Linked DNA regions of Kluyveromyces lactis. The protein of the gene in region 3 binds, or shares a complex with, the protein of the main gene of each other region. Links are inferred from orthologs where the notes say so. Each region holds a gene or a part of one and is shown on either strand. Other genes may lie near its edges. The genes, in order: SPT14, GPI2 and GPI1.

The links.
Region 1: GPI1 (region 3) and SPT14 share a complex: the UniProt entries of both Saccharomyces cerevisiae proteins name them as parts of the phosphatidylinositol N-acetylglucosaminyltransferase (GPI-GlcNAc transferase) complex. The link is inferred for Kluyveromyces lactis from reciprocal best matches to the Saccharomyces cerevisiae genes GPI1 and SPT14.
Region 2: GPI1 (region 3) and GPI2 share a complex: the UniProt entries of both Saccharomyces cerevisiae proteins name them as parts of the phosphatidylinositol N-acetylglucosaminyltransferase (GPI-GlcNAc transferase) complex. The link is inferred for Kluyveromyces lactis from reciprocal best matches to the Saccharomyces cerevisiae genes GPI1 and GPI2.

Annotation. Positions count from the first base shown.
Region 1 is NC_006039.1:837,097-845,359, reverse strand, and holds SPT14 (phosphatidylinositol N-acetylglucosaminyltransferase SPT14), read left to right. Parts: upstream 1-3,907; coding exon 3,908-5,248; downstream 5,249-8,263. Other genes in the region: OSW1 (Osw1p), read left to right, coding at 1-31; DAP1 (Dap1p), read right to left, coding at 142-600; KLLA0_C09735g (uncharacterized protein), read right to left, coding at 1,139-3,493; NIP100 (Nip100p), read right to left, coding at 5,266-7,731; CDC31 (centrin), read left to right, coding at 8,000-8,263. UniProt on the Saccharomyces cerevisiae protein: Catalytic subunit in the complex catalyzing the transfer of N-acetylglucosamine from UDP-N-acetylglucosamine to phosphatidylinositol, the first step of GPI biosynthesis.
Region 2 is NC_006041.1:2,088,759-2,096,180, reverse strand, and holds GPI2 (phosphatidylinositol N-acetylglucosaminyltransferase), read left to right. Parts: upstream 1-4,178; coding exon 4,179-4,997; downstream 4,998-7,422. Other genes in the region: MSI1 (Msi1p), read right to left, coding at 1-935; PGI1 (glucose-6-phosphate isomerase), read right to left, coding at 1,271-2,938; KLLA0_E23497g (DUF5315 domain-containing protein), read right to left, coding at 3,475-3,870; TAF5 (chromatin modification protein), read right to left, coding at 5,185-7,422. UniProt on the Saccharomyces cerevisiae protein: Part of the complex catalyzing the transfer of N-acetylglucosamine from UDP-N-acetylglucosamine to phosphatidylinositol, the first step of GPI biosynthesis.
Region 3 is NC_006041.1:1,434,471-1,443,166, reverse strand, and holds GPI1 (phosphatidylinositol N-acetylglucosaminyltransferase), read right to left. Parts: upstream 4,366-8,696; coding exon 2,485-4,365; downstream 1-2,484. Other genes in the region: RPS0A (40S ribosomal protein uS2), read left to right, coding at 1-12, 709-1,383; KLLA0_E16149g (uncharacterized protein), read right to left, coding at 1,617-1,781; RSM27 (mitochondrial 37S ribosomal protein mS33), read left to right, coding at 1,944-2,270; calcium channel protein CCH1, read left to right, coding at 4,691-8,696. UniProt on the Saccharomyces cerevisiae protein: Part of the complex catalyzing the transfer of N-acetylglucosamine from UDP-N-acetylglucosamine to phosphatidylinositol, the first step of GPI biosynthesis.

The DNA.
Region 1 (8,263 bases), on a different chromosome or scaffold from region 3:
CTTTGAGGAAGTTGCAGAGACCATGTCCTAATCCATCATATACAGACATATAAATTATCTGGACTTGTAGTACACTAGAAAACAGAAGCATAAATAAATACAAAAATAGTCCTTAATCTCACCAAGGCCTGAACAAATATTCTAATTGTTTACACCGGGTTCAGCTTCCAAACTTCCTATGCATGGGTACTTCTTTTGGAAATGCGCAGCCCATCCTTCTAGAGCTCCCCGCTCTTGCTCGTTTAAGTCCTGGAGAGTATCTATAGGTTGGTCCCAGTGTCTTACTGTATCCAAATCAAATGAGTTTGTAGCAAGTCCTCTGGATGCATCATGTCCAGCAAAATTAGAGTATGGTCCGCTAGGCCCGTAAAATTGTCTTCCTTGGCTGCAGTCGTACACTTTCCCCAAAACTGCGATAAAGATCTTTTCATCGTCATGTCCATTGAATTTGGATAGCGTTCTGGGATAAAACTTTCCTTCCACAATTGGGTCATTTGACTTAGAGCTAGCACCTTCGTTGCCGCTACCACTTTGCGTTAAACCCGTTGGGTCAGCTGTGGTCTTCACAGCACCTGTCAAAAAGTTCTTAATAAAAGACATTTGCTTTAAGATTGAGACTTGATTATCGAAACTCTATGTTCAGACTTAGTTACAACAAAATCAACCAAATCGTAATTGAGAGTCTAATGGTATATAGATAATATTTCCCTCTGGGTCCTTTATATAGAAGATCCAACATTTTTGTATTCCTTTATTCTGAGTTGATCTTTGCAGCGAAATTACGGCCAAACCTTTTTTTTTTCATCAAGAAACTGTTGTATTCGGGTACGTTGACAACTTATGGAAGCCATACGAAACAGTTCAATCAGAGAAAACAAAATTCAGACCGATAAAAATACCGGCAGGAAATTGGTTGACAAATCTATGCACTTTAAAGTGTATCAATTGATACTTGATTACCATTTGGTAAACAGTAGCTTGTCATTTATGAAGACCTTCTCAAATGGGACTCCCATTCATAGTAAAAGTATGAATTCTTTGAAGAGTATATATGTATTGTTTTATAAAGGAAGCAGAAAACATATTTCTGCGGGGAAAACGTTATGCTGATTGGGATTGATATTGTGAACAAAAAAGTTTAAAATGAATTAGCCGTTTCGTCAATAAATGACTGAGCTGAAGATATTAGCAGATTTCCTGCAATGTTGATTTGTTTTTGAGCTTCTTTTAAATTCCCCGAAGTCAATGCATCTCTCACACCAGGGAATGACCATGAATCATAGCCATTAGTTTGGGTCCAGAGCGTTGGTCCAAAGAGAACATTCTTGTAGAATTCTCTATCGGGAATACCACTTGAAAGAGATTGTCTCTTCATAATATTCATTATTTTTTTATTCCAAGTCCATCTGTGAACCGAAACTAACGACGGTTCCACGCCTTCGTCTTCCATCATGACGATATTATTCCACGTGTGTACCCATGCGTTCCATTCGTCACTGATTTTTTTCCATGCTTTCAAACCTTGCTGAATGGAAGCGTAGTCAAAGTTATTGCCACCTTGTTTCTGTAAATCCTGGAATAAAATATCTAGATTTGAAACGTAATCACGGACATTAAAGGGTAGTAAAGGTTCGTCGATAAGTCTTAACAACATTTCATAGGTGTAAATGAGGGTATCTGCGACTTGTTCCCATGCACCTTCAGTTCCCTTAATTTCTTCAGACCAATGTTGAAAATCATCAGAACAAGTTGAAATTGGAGGAGTTTGGTTTAAGACAAATGGGGAGCTTAACACAGCAGTGGGGATGCCGTTCGCCAAGTATGCAGTCCAATCACCGTATTGTGCAATGTTTCTAACGGTTACATCAAACTGTTTAGTATTCTTGAAAAGACTCTGTAATAGTGGTGTTGCCTGGACATCAAGCGCACGACGGGCTTTCGGATCGACACTTAATTGAGAAATATCAATAAATGCATAAACTTCACTTTTTAATTGATTCATTTCGGTTTCCATCAATTCGGTGGCACCTACGTGATTATATTGCGCGCCATCATATGAAATGAAGTAGATATTTCTTAGTGGCCTCCAATCGTACTTATATTTGGTTTGTTGGAATAACTGTAATAGAGCCATCAAAGAAGACGTACCGAAATTTGGATAAAGGGTTCCCTTGCAAGTTGAATCATGACTAGCAGCGATTATGATGGCCTTATCCTTTTGTTCTTTACCCTCTATTTTACCCAACACGTTCCAGCTAGGTTGTAGTGTCTTTTCAGCGTTGGCTAGCCTTAGGTTGCATTTGACATCATCTTTTCTGCCACTAAACCAGGAGTCCTCGAATTTGATACTGGGAGAACCATCATTTAGAATTGATTTAAGTTTCAGACCCTGGTTATACGAGATAGGTATGGTTGGGATGTGCGGTACTAACTGTGACTTTTCCAATCCGATTTTCTTTGGCGAAAGAGTGCTCCAACCAGGAGACAAAGCATCACCAGTACCGTACTGAGGAATCGCTACTGAGAGTTTCTGTATGACATCACCATCATTTCCAAAGGGCTTTGATATAAAAATAATACCTTTGATACCATGTTTTTCAGCGACAAGTATCTGCTCACTAGGTAAGTTTCCATATTTCATAACGAGAACAGTATTGTCGGAAAGTAACCCGTTTTCTTTCAATGATTGGATATCAGCGACAGTCCCATAATTTGCATATATTATATCGGCATTCTGAATGTTCCCGTTACTGCTTAATGGGTTAAAATTTTCCTTTGATAAAGCAAATTCATGCACTTTATTGTCCGAAGTAGTAACGCTAAACTCAACCTCGTTTGGGAAATTCATATATCCTTGGAACGGAACCTCCTTCATTAATTTTAATCCATTATTTTTGAACGATTCTCTGATATAGTTCGTAATAGCATAATCACCTTTAGTACCAGCTAAATGAGGCATGCTGCTTAAGTATTCCATATCTTCCTCTAACTTCGCATAGTCGATGGAACGTCTCGCGTAATAGATTAATTGGTTTTTATCCGAGAACATTCCGATAGTGGCGGTGCTCTTGCTATTGGGCATCAATCCGCTCATAACCACGGTGTACACAATCACTGACATGAAAAGTATATACACAAATCTGCGGAGGATTAAAGGATTTCCCAGTTTGCTCAAATATAGATCAACCTTCGCAGAAGCCATTTGATATACCTGTACGAGAGGATCGACAACATTGTTCTTCATTGGAAATATCAAATTATCCTCAATTCTGGTCTTTAACCTTTGAAAACGACCCACTGAACTAATAGTATCTTCCTGTTCTATATCAAGTTCCATTGGAAGTATATCAGGACGCGATTCGATGTCGTATTCAGGAGGATTTGGCGGTAGTAAAGATTCATCCAGGTCAACGACATTTTCCGAAGACACATCTGGAAGACTGACATCCTCATCTTGACTGACGCCTTGGTACCGCCCTTGTGCACGAGGCATTTTTCAGGCTTTAACGAAATGCTCTATTCGCTGGCTTAACGTGGACCAACTAAATATGCTTGAAATCTCACTGCTTACTCGATAACCCCTCAAGATAATATTCGGAAGTGTATTGGAAAAGGTTACGTTTCCAAATTTCGAGGTTATTTTAAACCTTCTGTACAAAATACTCATCGAGACAACCAAAGATCGAAAAACAGTCAACAGAAAGTGGTAAAGAGTGAGGAGTGAAAGTACAGATTAAGTAACGCTAAAGTAAAGCATATTGAGAGATTTAAAACTTCAGTGCAATTATACAAATATTCTTTGTATAGTCTAACAAAAGTTGTAGCTCCAAAACGGGTTAATCTGAACGATAAATTGTTTCGATATATTAAACACTTAATTCATATCAAACACATCAATGTCTAAAGAATGGCTGAACAAAAATACAACATAGCTATGGTTTGCGATTTCTTCTACCCGCAGCTTGGGGGTGTTGAGTTCCATATATACCATTTATCTCAAAAGCTAATCAAAATGGGGCACAATGTTTGTGTTATAACTCATGCCTACGGAGATCGAACAGGAATACGATATCTATCAAACGGTTTGAAAGTTTACTATGTTCCATACTTGGTACTCTATAGACAGACCACTTTTCCAACAGTATTTGGAAGCTTTCCTATATTCAGAAATATTTTGATTAGAGAACAGATTGATGTATTACATTCGCATGGAAGTGTTTCCAGTTTTGCGCACGAAGGAATACTACACGCGAATACAATGGGGATACAGACTGTGTTTACAGACCATTCTTTATATGGATTTGATAGTCTCGGTTCAATTCTTGTCAATAAGCTACTAAAATTCACTTTATGCAACATCGATGCTGTCATTGCTGTCTCTCATACTTGTAAAGAGAATATAATACTCCGAGCAAATCTTGATCCAGATAATGTGTCAGTCATACCGAATGCGGTTGTTTCCAGCAGTTTCAAGCCTAGAGATTCAACAATAAAGAAAAAATCTAACAGAATAACAGTAGTGGTGATTTGCAGGTTGTATACCAATAAGGGAGCTGACCTTTTGACACACTTAATTCCAAAGGTTTGTACGAATAACGATAACGTCGATTTCATTGTTGCTGGAGATGGGCCAAAGTTCATTGCATTCCAACAAATGATAGAAAATAATAGGCTTCAGGAACGCGTTCAACTTTTAGGATCTGTGCGACACGAACATGTTAGAGATGTCATGTGCCAAGGGGATATATACCTGCATGCAAGTTTAACTGAAGCATTTGGAACAGTTTTGGTTGAAGCTGCGTCGTGCGGGTTACTAATAGTAACAACATCTGTCGGTGGTATACCGGAGGTCCTTCCTGAATATATGACCGTATATGCCCAGGAAACCTCGGTATCTAGTTTGATAAAGGCGATGAACAAAGCGATACATCGCATAGGACATAGCAAAGTTAATACAACACAATTTCATGAAACTATCGCACAAATGTATGACTGGATGAATGTGGCTGAAAGAACCGTCCAGGTTTATGACAGGATATCTTTAGATGTACGCTCCTTAAACAAGAATTGGGTCGTTATGCTAAAAAAGTATTATAGACAAGATGGAAATTGGGCCAGATTATTGTATGTTCTTTGCGCTATAGTGGAATATATTTTACTCTATATTTTAGAAATTCTATATCCAGCAGGTGATATTGATAGGGTTGTTAAATGGAATTCCCGCATTTGTAGAGACCCTCATATATAATGATTAATGATTAATAATTAATACTCACCTTTGAGCATTTCGTATGTATATGTCACACATAATTCATGAGTTTCTTTCAATTTTGCGAGCCTGTGCTTCCTAATGGAGGTAAACTCATTAGAGATGATAGGGTCTGCTAACTCAATGCACGTCGATAAGATATTTGCCATATTGTTGAAATCATTGAACATGTTTCTACTGGAAAACTGTTTTCGATGAGTATCAAACAATGGTATGGACAATTTGAGGCGAGATTCTTGTTCTTTTCGAAGAATAATCCTCTGTAAATCTGAGATTTCAGCGATCAATGATAATTTATCATTGTTTTCTCTAAGCGATTGGATATTGTTTAATGCCTTTGTATGAAATAAATTATTGGCGTTCTTTATTTCTTGTTCTCTATTGTTGCGATACTGCTGGTACTCCGCCTCCATGTTCACCAATTCATCCTGAAGGCTAGAGTTTCTTGATTTCACTTCTAATAGCTCATTTTTCAAGCTGGATAAGGAACCTTCCATTTCCTTATTCCTGGCATATTTCGACTCAAGAACTTCAATTTTGAGGATTAAGTCCTGGATGATTTGATCTTTTTCAGATATCGTCTGTTGGAGAACTTCAACCTGAGCTTGGGATTGTATCACATTCTTTTCAACTGAAGTGTTTCTTTCCTTGTTTTCCAACATGTCGACAGGAATTTGTTTAATTTCCTCTAAACACACTGACAACTCATTTGGTTTTTCCTGTAGGGATAGGACTGACGTTGCAAAGTGAACATAAATCGAGAATAAATTCACATCAGACTTTAAGGTTCCATTAAATTCATAAAGCTCTTCCAATTTCGTGGTGACGAAGGTGTTAATCGTATGGAAAGTGTTATACAGGCTTCTTATTCGCTGCTGATCAGATTCCTTTGACAAGTGTTCAGTATCGGACAAAAGTCTTTCCACCGACGCTTCAAGAAACATTTGAATAGCCGTAAATAGAACCCTAGGATCCGATAAAGTGATGTCTGCATTTTCTAATAGAGATAATTGAACCTTGATTGGATGACTATTTTTTACTGATTCCAATAATAAGTCCAAATTGATCTTTTCTTTCAAATATGTCACACCAGCATCATATTTAATCATCGCATAATATATGAATAAAATTAGTTGAGATGTGCATATACTCACAGCGTCTTGGCTAAGAAGTTGGTCTCTCAGGTATATGATTTTAATTTGAGAAAGTAGCTCCACTTTGTTATCCACTTTCAGATGGCTAAGCTTTGCAGAAGATACCTCGTTCTGGAATTGAAGCTCATTATTCCTTAATTGTAACGAAGTAAGTTCTGCTTGTAATTCTTCAACTTCTGGTGACATTTCTTGAGAATATTGCCCCGATTTATTTTGCAGTGATTGTAATTCATTCTTTAAGGTTTTGTTGTTTTCCTTCAATGCGTTAATTATGCTCTCGTCAGTAGAGAGAGTTTCCTGAAGTTTCGCTATTTGAGAATTTAGCTCCGATTCGACCTCTTTATAAAGTGCTTCTAGTTCTTCATCTGCCAATTGAGTTTGTTTCAACTTGAGTAACTCTGACTTAAGACAATCAAGCTCCGTACTTAATTGATGGTTTTCTGTAGTAAGAGATTCAATGATGTTATTAGAATTACTATTCGCACTGAAGTGCTGTTTCAATTCATCTAATGTTTTTGTTGTTTCAAATAGTTTACTCTCTAAGGCTGATATTGTTCGCAAATATGTCTCTGCCTGGGTTTGCAGTTCTTCATTACTATTTTTCAAACCGTTGCATTGTTTCTGTATTTCTGTTAGGTCTGATTGCAGCTTTTGTAGTGCAACCGTTAATAATCTGTTTTGCTTGATAAGGGCATCTGATTCTACTGATTCTATCTGATCAGTGTTGACATCAACGTCTGCTTTTCTTCTTATTAAAATTTCTTCTTTATAATCATTAAGCTCCTTCAAAGCACTTTCATGAGCAATGGTCAAGCTTTCTAATTCAAATATCAGTGAATCATTGCGTTGCTCTGCCTCATCTCGTCCTAAAGTTAATTTCTCCAATTGTTCCTCGAGAAATTGCACTTTTTCAAGCTCTTTTGATCTCAATCCCAGCTCCTTTTCAAACGAAATACATTTGTCATTAACTGACTTGAGTTTAACTTCCAATCTTCCAATGATCTTTTTCAATCGTTCGGGATCTGATGAGTTAGAATTCGTAGTATCAGGATCCTGAAATTGTTGCGAGTTCGGTGCAGAATTTTTATAGATACCCTCTCTTCTACTGAATATACCATACATCCGACCTTTTCTACCCTCACTGAGTTCAAAGTACCTGACTCCCTTGACGCTACCATCGTTCTTCCCTAAGGGTTCATCTAACTCAACACCGATCCAAATCCCCGCTGCAAACTGCGTCTCGCCTATAAACCGTACAGTTCCTGCCAGGCTGCGTAGCACTACCCTATCTCCTAATTCCAGATCCATTGTTTCATTTTAGAACTAAAGAGTAGTTGATCTGGCAGTACTGTAAGGTATTCATCAGTTATTGCCTTCATTTCTTTCAGGATATGTGTTTATGTTCCTTAAACTCAATATTGTCAAAATAATCATAAACATGAAATCTTTAAACATATTTTAAAGAAGTTTCACGAAGTTTACGCGTGCAGCAAAAGAGGTAAATTAAGAGGTTCGATTGACTTACAGCCAAGACTCACAACGGCAAGAAATCTAACCCAATTCGGATCATAGAAACATGAATAACAGAAGGCCCAGTGGACGAGTAGCGAAATCCGTGGATAAATCCACTTTACAAAAGGAATTATTAGAAGAACAGAAACAAGAAATATACGAGGCGTTCTCACTCTTTGATATGAACAATGATGGATATCTCGACTATCATGAATTCAAAGTCGCTCTAAGGGCATTGGGTTTTGAACTCAGTAAAGGAGACATATTAGAACTTATCGATAGGTATGATGCAGACGGACGCCGGTTAATACAATACGAGGATTTTTAC
Region 2 (7,422 bases), about 650 kb from region 3:
CTTATGTCCCAGATCTTTAACTGGCCCTGAGAATCACCGGTACACAATATCATATCGTTCTTATAGTTAAACTCGATGGCATTGATTCCATCTGTATGTGTAGTACGGTGTAATGTGTCCATTTTCGTATCTTGTCTTATGTCTATCAGTCCAATGACGTTGGATTCTCCGCATGATGCTAAAATGGAAGTGTGGTTTACCATCCATGACACATCATTGACTCCATTCGCGTCCATCACACTCTCTCTTTCAGGTATTTCCATTCTCTGTTTCGACTTATCAAATTTAGTAAGATCCCATACTTTTACTTTCCCGTTACTTTGACATGTAGCTAAGGTACCCTCCAATTGGTAATTCCATGCAAGGGATAAACTCTCGTCCTGTTCATCGTCACCGTTATTTCTGCATTCGATTTCGAATTTCCTGCCTGTGGAAATCTTATTACCATGTTTCGTTCTATCAAATATGTACACTGATCCATTTGATGATGCAGTCCCAATTATATCGGGGTTCTGAGGCATGTACCGACATCTGTTGCAATCACCGTCAGGGTACGTTATTCGTACCTCTTCTTCTAATGTCTTGTCGTTCAGTTTCAATGAATTATCCAGTTTAAATTCCATTTCATCCATGTCGAAGTTATTGATGGAACTCCATTTCATATGATTCATGGTAGATATGGACCCGATGTAAATTGACTCATCCTGCGGAAGTTGCTGCGATGTGAATGAAGATAATAATATCCTTTGTTTGTCATTCGTAAGAGTACGGTCTGGGAAGAATTGGCAGGATAGAGATGGCCATTTCGATGTGTTTGTATTCAAATAGTCGTAGAGCAACTTTGTATTCTTCTTCCAATTGGTATACCTTTGCTGTACTTCATTAGAAATTCCAGAGCCCAGTTCTGGAGGTTCTTCTATAATCAACTCACTCATTGTTGCGTCCTCTATATGCTATGAGCTAGCTTGGTATTGTTATATCTTGTCACAATCTCGATGTCTGTACTCTCGCACTACATCACGCGTTGTTGAATCTTTTGGACGTGTATCATTTTTCATTTTCCTTAATGTAAATATGAAAAAAGAGATTGATTAAGTGAAAACAATTACTTCCAATGTAGTTGATATTCGTGACATTGTCGTATATAAGTCATTCATTGCACATAGCGTTTTGATAAAGAAGTTTATTTAGTTTGGTTGTACGTAAAGATGTGGAATTCTAAGTTCACTGCATATCTTAGGTGAAAAGGAAATTGCATCGCATTCTCACATTAGATCCATTCTTTAAATTGGTTGATCAAACCGTTGGTGGAACTGTCGTGAGAAGAAATCTTGTTATCAGTGGCCAATTCACTACCAATAACCTTAGCCAAAACCTTACCTAATTCAACACCCCATTGGTCAAATGAGTTGATGTTCCAGATAGCACCTTCGGTGAATGTAACGTGTTCGTAGTAAGCAATCAAAGCACCAAGGGTAGCTGGAGTAATCTTTTGAGCCAAGATGGAAGTGGTTGGTCTGTTACCAGAGAAGACCTTGTGAGGTACTAGACCACCAGTGGCACCTTCTGATTTGACCTGTTCTTCATCTTTACCGACCATCAATGCCTCAGCTTGAGCGAAGAAGTTAGATGCTAGCATTTTTTGATGTAGGTTGTTTTCAATTGGGTTATGAGATTGGGCTGCCAAGATGAAATCAGATGGAATCAATTTGGTACCTTGGTGAATCAATTGGAAGAAAGAATGTTGAGCATTGGTAGCTGGTTCACCGAACAAGATAGAACCAGTAGAGTAGTTTGCAAAAACATTACCTCTGGTGACGGACTTACCGTTGGATTCCATAGACAATTGTTGCAAATAAGCTGGGAATCTGTGCAAGTATTGATCGAATGGCGCAACCAAATGTGTTTGAGCATCGAAGAAGTTGTTGTACCAAACAGATAATAGACCACCCAACAATGGAATGTTGTCTTCCAATGGAGTTTCAACGAAATGCTTGTCTACTGCCTCAGCACCCTTCAAGAATGCTTCAAAGTTGTCGAAACCGATGTATAGAGCAACTGACAAACCAATAGCGGACCAAACAGAGTAACGACCACCGACCCAGTTTTCAAAACCGAACATGTTCTTTGTGTCGATACCGAACTTTTCAACTTCAGTAGCGTTAGTGGACAAAGCAGCAAAATGCTTGGAGATATGGGATTGGTCACCACCGTTCTTAGATAAGAACCAGTTCTTAGCACTAGTTGCGTTAGTGATAGTCTCAGCAGTGGTGAAAGTCTTGGATGCGATCAAGAACAAAGTGGTTTCATGGTCCAAATCCTTCAAAGTTTCAGCAATATGAGTACCGTCAATGTTAGAAACAAAGTGTACCTTCAAGTTGGTAGCATAATGTTTCAATGCTTCAGTCACCATAACTGGACCCAAATCTGAACCACCGATACCAATGTTGACAACATCGGTAATAGACTTACCGGTGTAACCCTTCCAAGCACCAGATCTGACTTCTTCGGTGAACTCCTTCATGTGTTGCAACACAGCGTCAACCTCTGGAGTGACGTTGGTACCATCAACGTACATTGGCTTCAAACTTCTGTTTCTCAAGGCAACGTGGTACACAGCACGTCCTTCAGTGAAGTTGATTGGTTCACCGTTGAACATGGCATCTCTCAATGAGGTGACCTTAGCTTCCTTAGCCAATTGGATCAAAGACTTCAAGATTTCATCGTCAACTAAGTTCTTGGAAAAATCAAACAAGATCTTTGAACCATCGTAATTGACAAACGTCTTGGCAAACTTTTCATAACGAGAATTGTCCTTAGCAAACTCGTCCTTAACATTTAGCTTTTTACCCTTTTGTTCGTACAAAGATTGCAATTGGTTCCAGGCTGGCAATTCAGTTGCCAACTTGAAGTCAGAGTAAGTGTTCTTAGAAGCCATTTCTGATATTTGTCTTTTTATTTCTGTTTTAGAATCTATCTTAACAGAACTTTAAAACCTTTTATTGTACTTTACGGTCAGTTAAAAGGTCACTTCAGAATTCAGCGATTAAACCCTAATCACAAATTCCTTTCTACGTGACTCAAGAATACAATCGAAATACCAATTGGAAGAAGCAATTGATCAAGAACCTTCACCAGAGAATATATATATATAAAGAATCCACGATTTAAGTTAACCATTTCCCTCAAATTCGCAGGTGATGGAAAATACCAAATCCTTTTTTTTCTCAACGTTCCTATTATTTTCCATACTACGTTCAATCATCAATTCGTATATCCCATCGTTATTCGGAACAACTTGTAATTTCTGTCAGCTTCCGCTTTTTTTATTTGTTTCGCACCATCCAGTAAACAAATAGTGAAAGGCACGTAGAAGAAACCGGTGGTCCTTGGAAACCTTAGCTTCCACTAATACTCAACAAAAAGTCAGGGTAATTGTGGCACGTGATTCATCACGTGATTTGAAGTATTTATTCAGTTATATCTCTCAATGGTATCTACGATATCATTGATGTGTTTCTGTTGTTCTTCAAGATTTCCTGGGGTCTCTGTTGATTGTCTCTTCATGTGCTGCATCAAGTTCGCATGCATCTGGCGTAAGCGGGTAATATCCTCTTCGAAATTATCCGGGAAAGTAAGGCCAGTATTGCCCTCTCTGGCCATTCTTTTCACATCATCTAGTGTATCTATATCTGTCCATATCCTATCCTTGTCATCCACTTTTGGTGTAGCATGTACGTCGTCTGGAACGGTATCCTTGGGTAAAGTTCTCGGTATGGCTTTAGAATCCGTAGGTCTTCGTTCATTGTTTGAAGATTGCCTGGTTACCTGATCAAACGAATTTGATGTCTCCCTGCTAGATTGATCCATTGGGTATATGTAGCAATGAGTTGAGCAGTAAGTTAGGCTATATCCTTTGTATCTTACTTGTGCGGGTGCTCCCGCTGGCTGTGCTGTGATATTAAGTTGTAATGGATTAGCTTTTTTACGTATCAATCTCTAATTTTAATGATTCGAAAAAGCTAGCGACGACTGTTGAACTGAAGTAACTTCCTGCACTCGCAGAGATTTATCGCGAGTATAGCGGCAAATCTCCAGGTTTCTTTTGTCCAGACTGTAGTGACTATATTGTGCTAGTCGTTTCCCGAATAACAAATTGTCTTCTCTTATAGTTGTTAATGGCTGCGGGGAAACAATGGAAACGGTTATTGTGGTTGAAACAGCCGTTCCCAGATACCTACACTGATCCAAGTTTCTACAAACAATGGGAGAAGTTGAAAATTGAACATGGGCATTTGAGGCCTCACTCCTCGTACAGGTCTGTTTTACTTGATCTCTTCCAGTTTTACCACATGATTATTAATACTATGTTACTCTATATTATATTTGCCTGGTTCTATCATTACAAATACAATCCGATTTTAATTGCTGCCTCAATTTCATCTGTTTCCTTAATAGTTGCCAACAAGAGGGTACCCTGGAAATCCACTATCATCATTATATTTGCAATGTTGACCTTATCTCCAGTGCTTAAATCTTTGTCCAAGACAACTTCGTCCGATTCCATCTGGACTCTATCTGCATGGTTCACAACCTTTTACATCATATCGATCTCCGCTCTTGAATCTAAAATCCTACCGACCAATATTCTACTCTCAAATGTGACCGTACTTTCTTCAAGATTAGATACCTCCACCCAAGTTTTCTGTTTCCTTTTGATATGTATCCAAATTAACATTCTACTGCCGACGATGGAAAAGTATTTCATAAAGAATAAGTTGAAATTCCTGCATATACTATGTGTTATTGCGACACATGGTACAGTCTACTATTTTATAACGAAGTTAATGGGTGTCGGGATCACGATACCTTTGGGAATATCATCTTTGTTACTATTATTTGGAATCCCTCATTACTATATCCACTGGGAAAGCTACTATTATAAAGGACATCCGATTTTACAGCAGTGGGACGCTGAAAAACCAATATTAGATTAGTTATTAGGATTCTGTTAACATTTACATTTCATTGACTGCATTGATATCAATGCACATAAAATATACGTACTCATTGTAAATAATATAAAGATAAAGCGCATTCTCTTTTTTTTTATTTATTACAATTGGACAACTACTAGATATGTCGAATAAACGACCCTTATCTGGCTGAGTAAAGTAATCGCATTTACTCAATAAATGCACCACCAGCCAAAACTAGGTTCGTTCTTGTGAATTTTACTTTGTGAATTGCTGTTTTCTTTGTATGGAACGAAGCCATCAAATCCTGAGTTGGTATTACTGCCCGCCTACGTCCGAATTCTTTGATATCGTTATTTACACTGAGTTCCATATCTCCTGAATACGTGTTGAATTGTTGTTCCGGCTCCATTCCAGGCTCGTTTGTAAACCTCTTTATATCCCAAACTCTAACACTTTGATCCGCACCACCTGTTACTAGACAGTTACCTTCTTTGTTAAAAGTTATGGAATAGATAGGATTCTTACCGTGACCCTTCATCTGTTTGATTCTTTTACCAGTACCAATATCCCATACGATAATTGTGCCATCCTCACTGCCCGTAGTTAACCACCTACCGTCAGGCGATACTTCAAGTGCGGTGACTGGTGATGTATGTCCCAAAAACAGTCTAACAGAATCACCTGTTTGAATATCCCACATACGGCACGTTTTGTCGCTGGAACCAGTGAAAACATAGCAACCATTTGGATGGAAAGTGCTACAATCCACGTCATTTAGATGACCTGAGAAAATTCTCAACGGATAGATATGATCACAAGACCATAGTCTAGCCGTTTGATCATGTGAAGCGGTGATGAAATAATGGCCAAGTGGAGAAAACTTGACGTACCATACTGGATGGTTATGGCCTTTGTAACACACTAGGCAAGTGAACGTATCTAAAGACCAAAGTCTGACAGTTTTATCTTCAGATGCGCTAAGTAAGTACCTGTTATCCGGGCTGAATGCAACGGAATAAACTGGTCCGCTGTGTCCTACCAAAGTAGCAGAGTTCGATTGGTCTTTAGCTTTGGATGGGAGGATCGACTGTAGCGGTGATCCATCAAGGTACCATACCTTAATTGTACTGTCTTGGAAACCAGCTGCAGTTAGTCTAGCATCATCACTAAATTCTACGCAAGTCATATTACCATTAGTGTTGTGGAAAGTGTACATACACACACTTGGTGCAGAAGTTTGTAGGTTTTTCAATTGGATGGAATCTCTACTCTCCCTTACTTTTTGAATTTCCATCTTTAGATCTAAAGTTGTTTTTACCGGTAGCGGCAACGAATCCTTTGCTGGTGATTCCATCATAGATCCAATTGAAGCCTCTGGTTTTTCTTCCTCGTCTTTATTCTTTGAGTCTCTTTTCTTTCTTTCAGCAGCCGATGATTCGACACTAAGTGTAGGAGTGCCTTTCTCTTCTGTATCTGCTGTTGCATCGACTTCTTCTCCACCCTCTTCAGCTTCAGGTTCCTTATTTTCATTTTCTTCCTTAACGGTGTTATCATCAGCTTTTTCAGTGCCCTCTGGTTTGTTCTGATTACCGTTCATTTCTCTATATTCCTCAACTAATGTCTTACCGACAGGTTTATCCTTATTCTCAGCTGCCTCTTGTTCATCTTTTTTCTGCAACTCAATCTCTACTTCCTTGGTGAACTCTTCGTCCTTTGGATACGGTCCTAACTTCACAGGTACCGAGTTATACGTATCAACATCAATATCACCGGTTGAGATATCTTTGATCCCGTCGGTGAGAATATCCTCAGATTTGACAACATCTACGATATTTGGATCCAAGTTTTGGTTTATGATGGAAATCAACAAAGATCCTCCCACACTTTCGTTTTCGTTCAAGAAATACAACAAAAGGTTCAAAGTAGTTCTTGAGATTGTGATCTTATATTTATTGGTTTGGAAACCTTGAGCCAACTCATTTTCCTTGATGTGATCTACTGAGTTGACACTGAATAATCGGTTAATTTCTGATCCATGAAGGGCTTTGTAATCGACAGAATACTTGTCAAAGAATCTTCTCGCTTGTAAGGGGTCCTTGATGACCAACTGTAAAAAAACGTAAATGAAAATCGGGTATATGATACGTGATAGCTCAGGTTTGTACAATTCTAAAGACGAATCGATCCAATTTTTCAACATTGAGTAAGCTCTAAAATAGTGCAAGGGTGTCACCTGTTGCGGTTTTATCAATTGGCCGTTGTTATCTCTTTTCAAGGGCATCGAAGGATTTGAAACAGGTTTTGCAGTGGTAGTACTTCCTGTAATCGCAGTGGCTGATGCAGACGAGGCAGGGATTGTGTTAGAAGCAGCAGCGTTTTTATTTGGAGGCGTCAAAGTACGTGACGATTCAGCACGAAGCATCTGTTCCGTTCTGTGATACCC
Region 3 (8,696 bases):
AAGAACGTCCAAGTATGTTGAGAAATTTACGAAATATGGATACGAACTTCGGTTTGGATAATACGTATTCGATAAGAGGAGTGGTGTTTGTTCAATACCAGAAATGCATCAATTAGAAAGAACTGTTACAAAAAAGAGAATATTGTATCACAGCAAGATTAGCTGTCATGATACTTCTGTACTTATGCTTGTACCTTGTTTTTGCTCGTGTTTTAAATCAATAACATTGGTTAGGCCTCTCCGCAGGTTAATCATGGATGTTGAATATTTGGCACGGTGCTACTAACTAAATGAGTGCTGATGTCAAGGATAATGGCTTCACTCACAAGAAAGAATATGCAAATATTTATATTTGTTGCTCTTTACCTAACAGCATAGAGGATATACGTACGTTAAACATTCTATTTCCCCTCGTTATTTCAATTCTGATTCCCTTCGAACAAGGATATCAGACTGAAGTACGAGAGGATATGGTTTTAACTGAATCTGTTAAAAGAACAACAATTGAAATGGCCTGCCATTTCTAGGGAACTAAAATAATAATAAAAAAGTACACGAACATCTCCTCTATCATATGGTAATATCTGCACTTCGAAAAGTGTATCCTGTCGCATGTTGCGGTTGGGAAAAAGCTCTCTCTTTACTAACAATATATTTTTAACTTTTGCGAACGAAACGTTTGCATGGTTATTTTTTAATTATTAACAGGTTCACCAAGAACCATACGTCTACAAGGCTAGACCAGATGGTGTCAACGTTATCAACGTTGGTAAGACCTGGGAAAAGATTGTTTTGGCTGCCAGAATCATTGCTGCCATTCCAAACCCAGAAGATGTTGTTGCTATCTCTTCCAGAACTTATGGTCAAAGAGCTGTCTTGAAGTACGCTGCTCACACCGGTGCTACTCCAATTGCTGGTAGATTTACCCCAGGTTCTTTCACTAACTACATCACCAGATCTTTCAAGGAACCAAGATTGGTTATCGTTACTGACCCAAGATCCGATGCTCAAGCTATCAAGGAATCTTCTTACGTTAACATCCCAGTCATCGCTTTGACCGATTTGGACTCCCCATCCGAATACGTTGATGTTGCTATCCCATGTAACAACAGAGGTAAGCACTCCATCGGTTTGATCTGGTACTTGTTGGCTAGAGAAGTCCTAAGATTGAGAGGTGCTCTACCAGACAGAACTCAACCATGGGCTATCATGCCAGATTTGTACTTCTACAGAAACCCAGAAGAAATCGAACAACAAACTGCTGAAGAAGAAGCTGTTGCTTCCGGTGAACAAACTGAAGAAGCCGTTGACGCTACTGAAGAACAAACCGAAGCTGCTGAATGGGCTGAAGAAGGTCAAGCTCAAGAAGAAGAATGGAACTAAACTTCAAGAATTCTTTAACTGAATTCCTGGAAGTTATTCCACCTTTTTTTTTGTTTAATTCATCATTCTATAATATAGATTCAATGCTTAGCATACTATCATTGTTATTATTATAGCTTCATGCAACAACTCTCAACCATCCGCTCATATTTTTAACTATTTTTACTAGTTTTTAAAACTCCACATCGTGTATAATTTTAATATCATTATTGATCCAGGCTAGTACCCGATAATTATACAAAGAATTGAATATTATTTAATTGATTGAACGTGCCAACTGAATATTTCCCCTTCAATGGTGCTTCAGTACCCAGTATGGCAATGTGACCCTTCTCGCATCTCTCATCGCTCTTATCCTCATCATGGTGATAATTTCCTGATAATGAAAATTTGAACATTGGAACATTCGAAAAAAAACTGAGCTTGCATAAAATAGAAACCTGCTGCAGAAGTAGTAAGTGAAAGTACCAATAAATAGGTCTTAGGTGTGCTTTAACTCTCAGCGAACTAGTTTGCGGGTTGTTCCATCAGTTATCACTCATATTTTCATATTTTGAGAAATGTCTGTACCCAAATCTAGGCTACTGAAGCTTGCTGAGATATCAGCCAAAGTTTTTGATCAAAATTTCAATCCAACAAATGCCAGAACTGGGTCTAAGATCCTAGCACAGAGGCTTAAAGGACCTGCTATTGCGAATTATTATGGTAACCCAGATTTTATCAGATTCAAGCAATTGAAGAAACTATATCCAGGCATGAACTTCGTTGATGAAGAAGAACAATATAGATTGACTATGCTTGAACTAAGAAAGCGTAGAGGTAAGGGTGCTCCAACTAAGAAGAGAGAGGCCTCTGGTGACGGTAAAAAGACCAAGAAGAGAAAGTGATCAAAATGAGCCCAGCCTATCCTTTTATCCCACTTAAAGGGACTTGCAATTAACATTTCCATCATATAAAAATACCTTGTATATAAATTATATCAGTCAGTTCAAATAGACCCAAGAATTTAACGAATTTCAACTATGTTTTTATTAAATACGAATATTCAAGTAAGATTCAAACTATGCAATCTGTGCCATTAATTGTGGTTGTGAGAGGGGTTTATATCGTATCTTGTTCCATTACCATCTTTAACTTTTTCCATAGTAAATCGATATCAATTGGATGTCTCGGTAGATTATGGTACAAAACACGATAGAGTTCATCTCTTCGTACATTAAGAACTGATCCCTGACTCACCATCTTCAAAGTCTCAACCGAGAACATCTGTCTTTGAATGGATTTCATGACGTTTGTGAATGGTTCAAAGGTCATGAAAAAGCTGATTGGATTATTCGATATTAATAAGTGATCATCATATACTTTGAACTTGATACCACCAGGTAACCTTTTAGCATCTTTTATCCGTAAAAGCAATGCAAATAAAGGGAAATGGTTGATAAGGGCCAAACTTAGTTCAAGCAACACTTTCACTGTAAGGTCAACAAATCTGAACACTGTGTATACCAAATAGAATGAAAATAACGTTGGCAACAAGAAGATTAACACCGTGAATATTAAAGTTCCCATCAATAGCTGATCTAATTCGAAGTACATATCATCAACTCTTCTACGTAACACATTTTGCTTCTTCCCATAAAACAGGTAGAATAAACTCTTCAACACATAGATATGAACATGATAAAGTTTGACACTAATCATGTAAAATAATGAGATATGCAGCGTCATGATCCACAGGAAGTCAACAGCCAGGGCCAAAGTGAAAGTGAACCCTATGACAGCACTGATATGAGACATTACTGTTATTCCCTGTCGTATAGTTTCTGGTTCAATGCACGAGCGAATCCATCCGGTATAAGTGAATTCGATGATTAACAAAAAAAGAGAGCTTAAAAACCTGGAAAGCTCATCATTAAGTTTGATACCCAGTGGGTTTTGTTCTAAAATCAACGTCACCTGCATGGGAAGCTCATAAAGTAAATACTTTAAAGTTGTACTGATATTTTGGGCCAATGTAATACGGTTTTCATATAACACAGTTCCTAGTGTGGCACCAAACGAAACATCGTTTATGATGAGCCAAAGAGTATTGTAAAGTCGAATATAATCAGGATAGGTTTCGCAGGGAAGTGCTTTCGGTAGCACAAGGTGGCTTTTACGACGTTTAGTGAAACCCGAACTCTTATCATTTTCATCTATGCTACCATTTTCATCTGTTCGAAGGTCTAGATCAGTCAATTTGACATTTTTATTAATCCTTAGATATTGTACTGGAATATAACAAAGTTGCTGGCATCTAAGGTCAATCTGCTGAGCAGTTGCGAATAACTTTACCAATGGCAATACCCTCCAATTTAAAACATACGACACAAATCCTGCAACAATTCTTATCAAGGCGGCACCATAAAAAGCTAAACATCTAATACCTCTGTAAACAGAAGTTGCACGCATCCGCAATTTCAAATCTGTTATCGAAATATTCAACGTTGATTTGTTCTTGTATATTGCATATCTCTTATAGAACACTTCGAGATGTTGATAGTATAAATTGAGATGATCGATATTCTCCCGCAATCTCGATTCCCACTTCTTTCTGATGTTAAAAACCGATGTACCATCATGAATAGCGCTATTATCTGTTGTTTCTACACCGAAATCTTCGAATGGGTTCTGTAATATTAGTGATATCGGCTCTAACGAGTAAAATTGCATCATTTTTACCTTAGGTGGATCGAAACAAATAGTTGTATATTCAGCTCTCCATTGCTCAGCTGTTTCAATTGAGTTGACATTTCCCGAGTAAATCCTCCCAAACTCGCTATAAGGCTTTTCCACAGGCCTGTACTTTGACGCCTCTATGACAGCGATGACTAAAGGATCTGAACTTGAGGTCTTCAAAACTATCACCACTAAGGGCTCATCGGCCGATTTGCATTGCCGTAAGAGTCCTGCAGGCCAATATACATAAGTCCGTCGATCCATGAACGTCCTTGCAGTTTCACTGCACCTGCTATATAACTATTTTAAGGTATGTGATTACCGTACTTCGTAATTCATTCCACAGCTTGCTATTTCAGCTGAAAGCTTTGATCTAGTTTGTTTCTAATTATTGACATGGATATTTAAACTTTAATGATATTCTGAAGCTGGTATCACGAGAGATGATTACAAAAGAAGAAACACAGAGTGCCCAACGCCAGTCTTGAATTCCTGATATAGCCTCAAGTTCGAGTATCACGTTGGTTATAAACGTAAGTTCATCCTGTAGCTTTCTTCATTACTCGACGGTTGTATTAATTTTATTTTAATGGAGGGGGGAAGTTCTCGTTCTCGATCGAGGTCCAGAAGGAATTCTGTTGGTGCATCCTTCCTTGACCTACCAATAAACTCAGATACTGCATCTGATGAGGCTAATGCACCGAATTTAGATCGAATATCGCGTTTGCAACCGCCGGTTATGACATTTTCCGCTGCAGATGACGACGATGACAAAAAAGGGCTTATAATAGAAGAAGAATCGTTACGATCATTTAACCAAGATCCATCAACTGATAGCTTATTAAATGCTAATTCGATAAGTGGTGGTTCAAACATGCTATCTATTACTGACGATGATTTACAAGATTTCAAACATTTACAAGACGATGTGAAGAACATTCTAGGTGGGGACACTTCCCAATGGTTACGGAAACCTACATCAGACGGCCACTCAGAAAGAAGTCGAAGCACACGTGGATCAAGAAGGTCATCCATCCACGAAACCGCTCCTGTTGCCAGGGATCATAGCTCTGATCTATTTACTGATGATTATGAACTTCAAAGTATTCCTATTGGAACTGATACACCCTCAGTGAATGCTTTCGGTTATCATTCATCCTATCAGACATCGACTGGTTCGATTCATTCAAATCACACTCGAAATCATGACGACGTAGGTTCTGCTCCGACAGATACGTATGACAATACTATTAATGATGAAGAAGATGACGATCCCGGAATAGATAGAACTATAGAGAGGCATCTTCAATTGTACGGGAAATCCTTAGGGTTTATTTCACCAGACAACCGTTGGAGATTGAAATGTGCCTCAATTCTTCTGAAAACATGGTACAAAGCTTTCTCTATGCTTGTCCTAACTCTCTATACTATATTTCTAGCCCATAGTGTATTTTTCGGCAGCACAGCATCAGGCGAAAAGGATTTCAGTGCTCCATCGTCAGTTTTTTCTTACGTTGCCACTTTGATATTCAACAGCTTCTTCACTTTTGAACTCATTGCCAAGGTCATTGCTTTTGGATTCTGGAACGATTCTGATTTAATGAATGCAATAGGAAAGAACTATGTTTCATTTTGGGATGTAACTGGAATAAGGAAATTTTATAGATTCTTGGAGACTCATTACTCTTCAAAATTTATTCACAGCATTATACCAATCAGAGCACTATTCCAAGAAACCATAGACGAAAAAAAGTCAGCGGCTCTCAAAAGTTCTGTCACTGTTGCAGACTTTAGAAATGTTAAATCTCCCGTCGATATACCTAGAGCATTTACTAGAAGTAGTTGGGGAAGACTTGAATTGTTGTCGACGATTTCTGCTTGGCTTGCATATGGCTTAAGTATTAACGATTATGATGATGTACACGGGTTGAGATTATTCAGGTCTTTAATGGCATTCAGAATTCTCAAACTTGTGGATTTGGACTCTGGTTTAGTTTCTATCTTAAGAGCCTTGAAATACGGAATACCAGAACTTCTAAATGTCGGTTTTATGCTTCTATATTTCTGGGTTTTCTTTGGAATTCTAGGTGTGCAAACATTCAAAGGATCTTTGAAGAGGCAGTGCGTGTGGTTCAATCCAAATGATCCATCTGATTATTATCAGTATGACATGCAGTTTTGTGGAGGATATTTAAATGCGGAAACACTTGAGCCAATGAAGTATGTGTTTGCGGATAATAGTGAAGGACCATTAGCTAAGGGATTCTTGTGTCCAGCCAACTCCAAGTGCATTTCGAATGCAAATCCGTACAATGGAAGAATCAGCTTTGACAATATTGTTAATTCTATGGAATTAGTTTTCGTGATAATGAGTGCTAATACCTTTACTGATCTAATGTACTTCACGATGGATACAGATAATATGGCAGCCTGCTTATTTTTTATTGTTAGCATACTATGTCTCACGGTCTGGATGGTCAACCTTTTAATTGCTGTCCTTTATTCGTCCTTTGAAGTTGTTCATGAGAAGTATACCATAGATAAATTTTCCACTCAAGATAATTACCTTGTGTTTAATGTGAAAAGATTGGCACATCTAATCAAAAGTAAATCAGACACAACAAAATCACCTGCATGGGCAGAACGAGGAATTAGGCTTTACGAAAAATTGGAATGGTTTTTTGTTCTTGCAATTTTTACCAGTATTTGTGCACTTGCTTCAATGAAGAGTCACAGTTCCGATCAATCAGCTCAGGATATATTCAGCGTTAACCAAATCGTTTCTTGTATTCTTGTGGTTGAAACAATATTACGGCTAATTTTATACTGTAAAACTCCATGGAAATTTTTAGCGAAGCCTAATTATGTTTATGATTTTATTATTTCAATCATTTGCGCTGTTCTTTCGTTCAATAGCTTGCGTATATCTTTGGGACAGACTTCTGCATGGCTATTGTTCTTCCCAATTTCAAGATTCTATAGAGTTGTCATACTGTTCAGTGTGACGAGAAATTTATGGAAAAAGGTATTGAAAAACGCAATAGTTATATGGAATTTATCTGCCTTTTACTTCCTATTCGTGTTCTTGGCATCATTAATCGTGTTGCTATACTTCGATGGAACTCTAGATGCCGATGATATGGAAGACACTCCATTTGGATTCTACTCTTTACCTAACGCCTTTCTGACCCTTATTAAAATCGCATCAACTGAAAATTGGACAGATTCACTTTACGCACTCCAAAGAGATTCTCCTACTTTATTTTCGGCATTGTTTGGTTCAGTTCTACTTATTCTATGGTTCATTCTCTCAAATTTTGTTGTTCTTAACGTATTCGTTGCTGTAATAGCGGCAAGTTTTGATATTGAAGAAGAGGATAAACGTTTGCTGCAAATTAAACATTACTTAAAGGTCACTTATCCGGAAAGAATCAGAGAGTTTTCCGTGGTACCTTTGCTTGAGCGTATCAGAAGAAAATTTTTGCGTAAACCGCAAATTGATGATTCTGAGGACTTCAGGCAATTTTTATTCAGAGGTACTGCTATTCTGAGTATTGCTCAGAATTACGAAGGATTCAATATGGATCTTTCAGAAGATAAGGATCATCAGTTTGCCGATAGGAACGTCAAATCGTCATTTTGGAACAGAATTCTATGGAGATTAAAGGCACTTAACTTTTACAAAACGAATCCTTTTTTTAAAGATCCGAAGGTGGTTTTTGTTCAGTCTGATGATACAACCCCATCGAACAGGAAATACACATTGAAACTGAACGATTGGGAAGAGGAAAAGCTTAGATTTTTGAAGCAGCATCCGAACTTCAATAACACGTACTTCATATTTCCACCAAATCATGCTCTTAGACGATTTTGCCAAAGACTTGTACCTCCTAGTTACGGGAAGAGGACTAACAATAGAGTTTTTTTTGATGATACTACCAATAAAGTCGGTCAAAAGAGATTCTTCTATAATATTGAGAAAGACATTTTTGTGTTTGTGACGTTTGTTGCTACCTTGTTGATGGTTATTTATTCATGCTATGTTACACCGTTATATCGCATGAATCACAACAAAAAATGGAATTGGACTACTTATTTTGAACCGGTCTTTGTTCCATTGTTCACAATAGAATTTTTGGTAAAAACTATTGCAGATGGGTTCATTTACACACCTAACGCTTATTGCCTGAATCCTTGGAACAGGATAGATTTAGTCGTATTAATTGCACTATGGATCGATTTTTTTGCGTGGTTATTAGGAAACGGGGAATTGGCAAGAATTATCAAAGCTGTCAGTGCTTTAAGAGCACTTAGATTTTTGACAATTAGTAGTATGGCAAGAATGACCTTCAAACAGGTCATGTTTGATGGCCTGACGTATATTTTTGGTGCCTGCGCAGTTGCGTTTAGTATTTTGTTTCCATATACAGTATGGGGTCTTAATGTATTCCGTGGTAGACTTGGGGTCTGCAATGATGGTGATTTGTCCTATGGAGAATGCTACAATGAATTCACAAATCAAGTGTTCCACTGGGACATTTTAATGCCCCGTACATATGCTGATCCCATATTGCACCTCAATTCGTTCTCAAGTG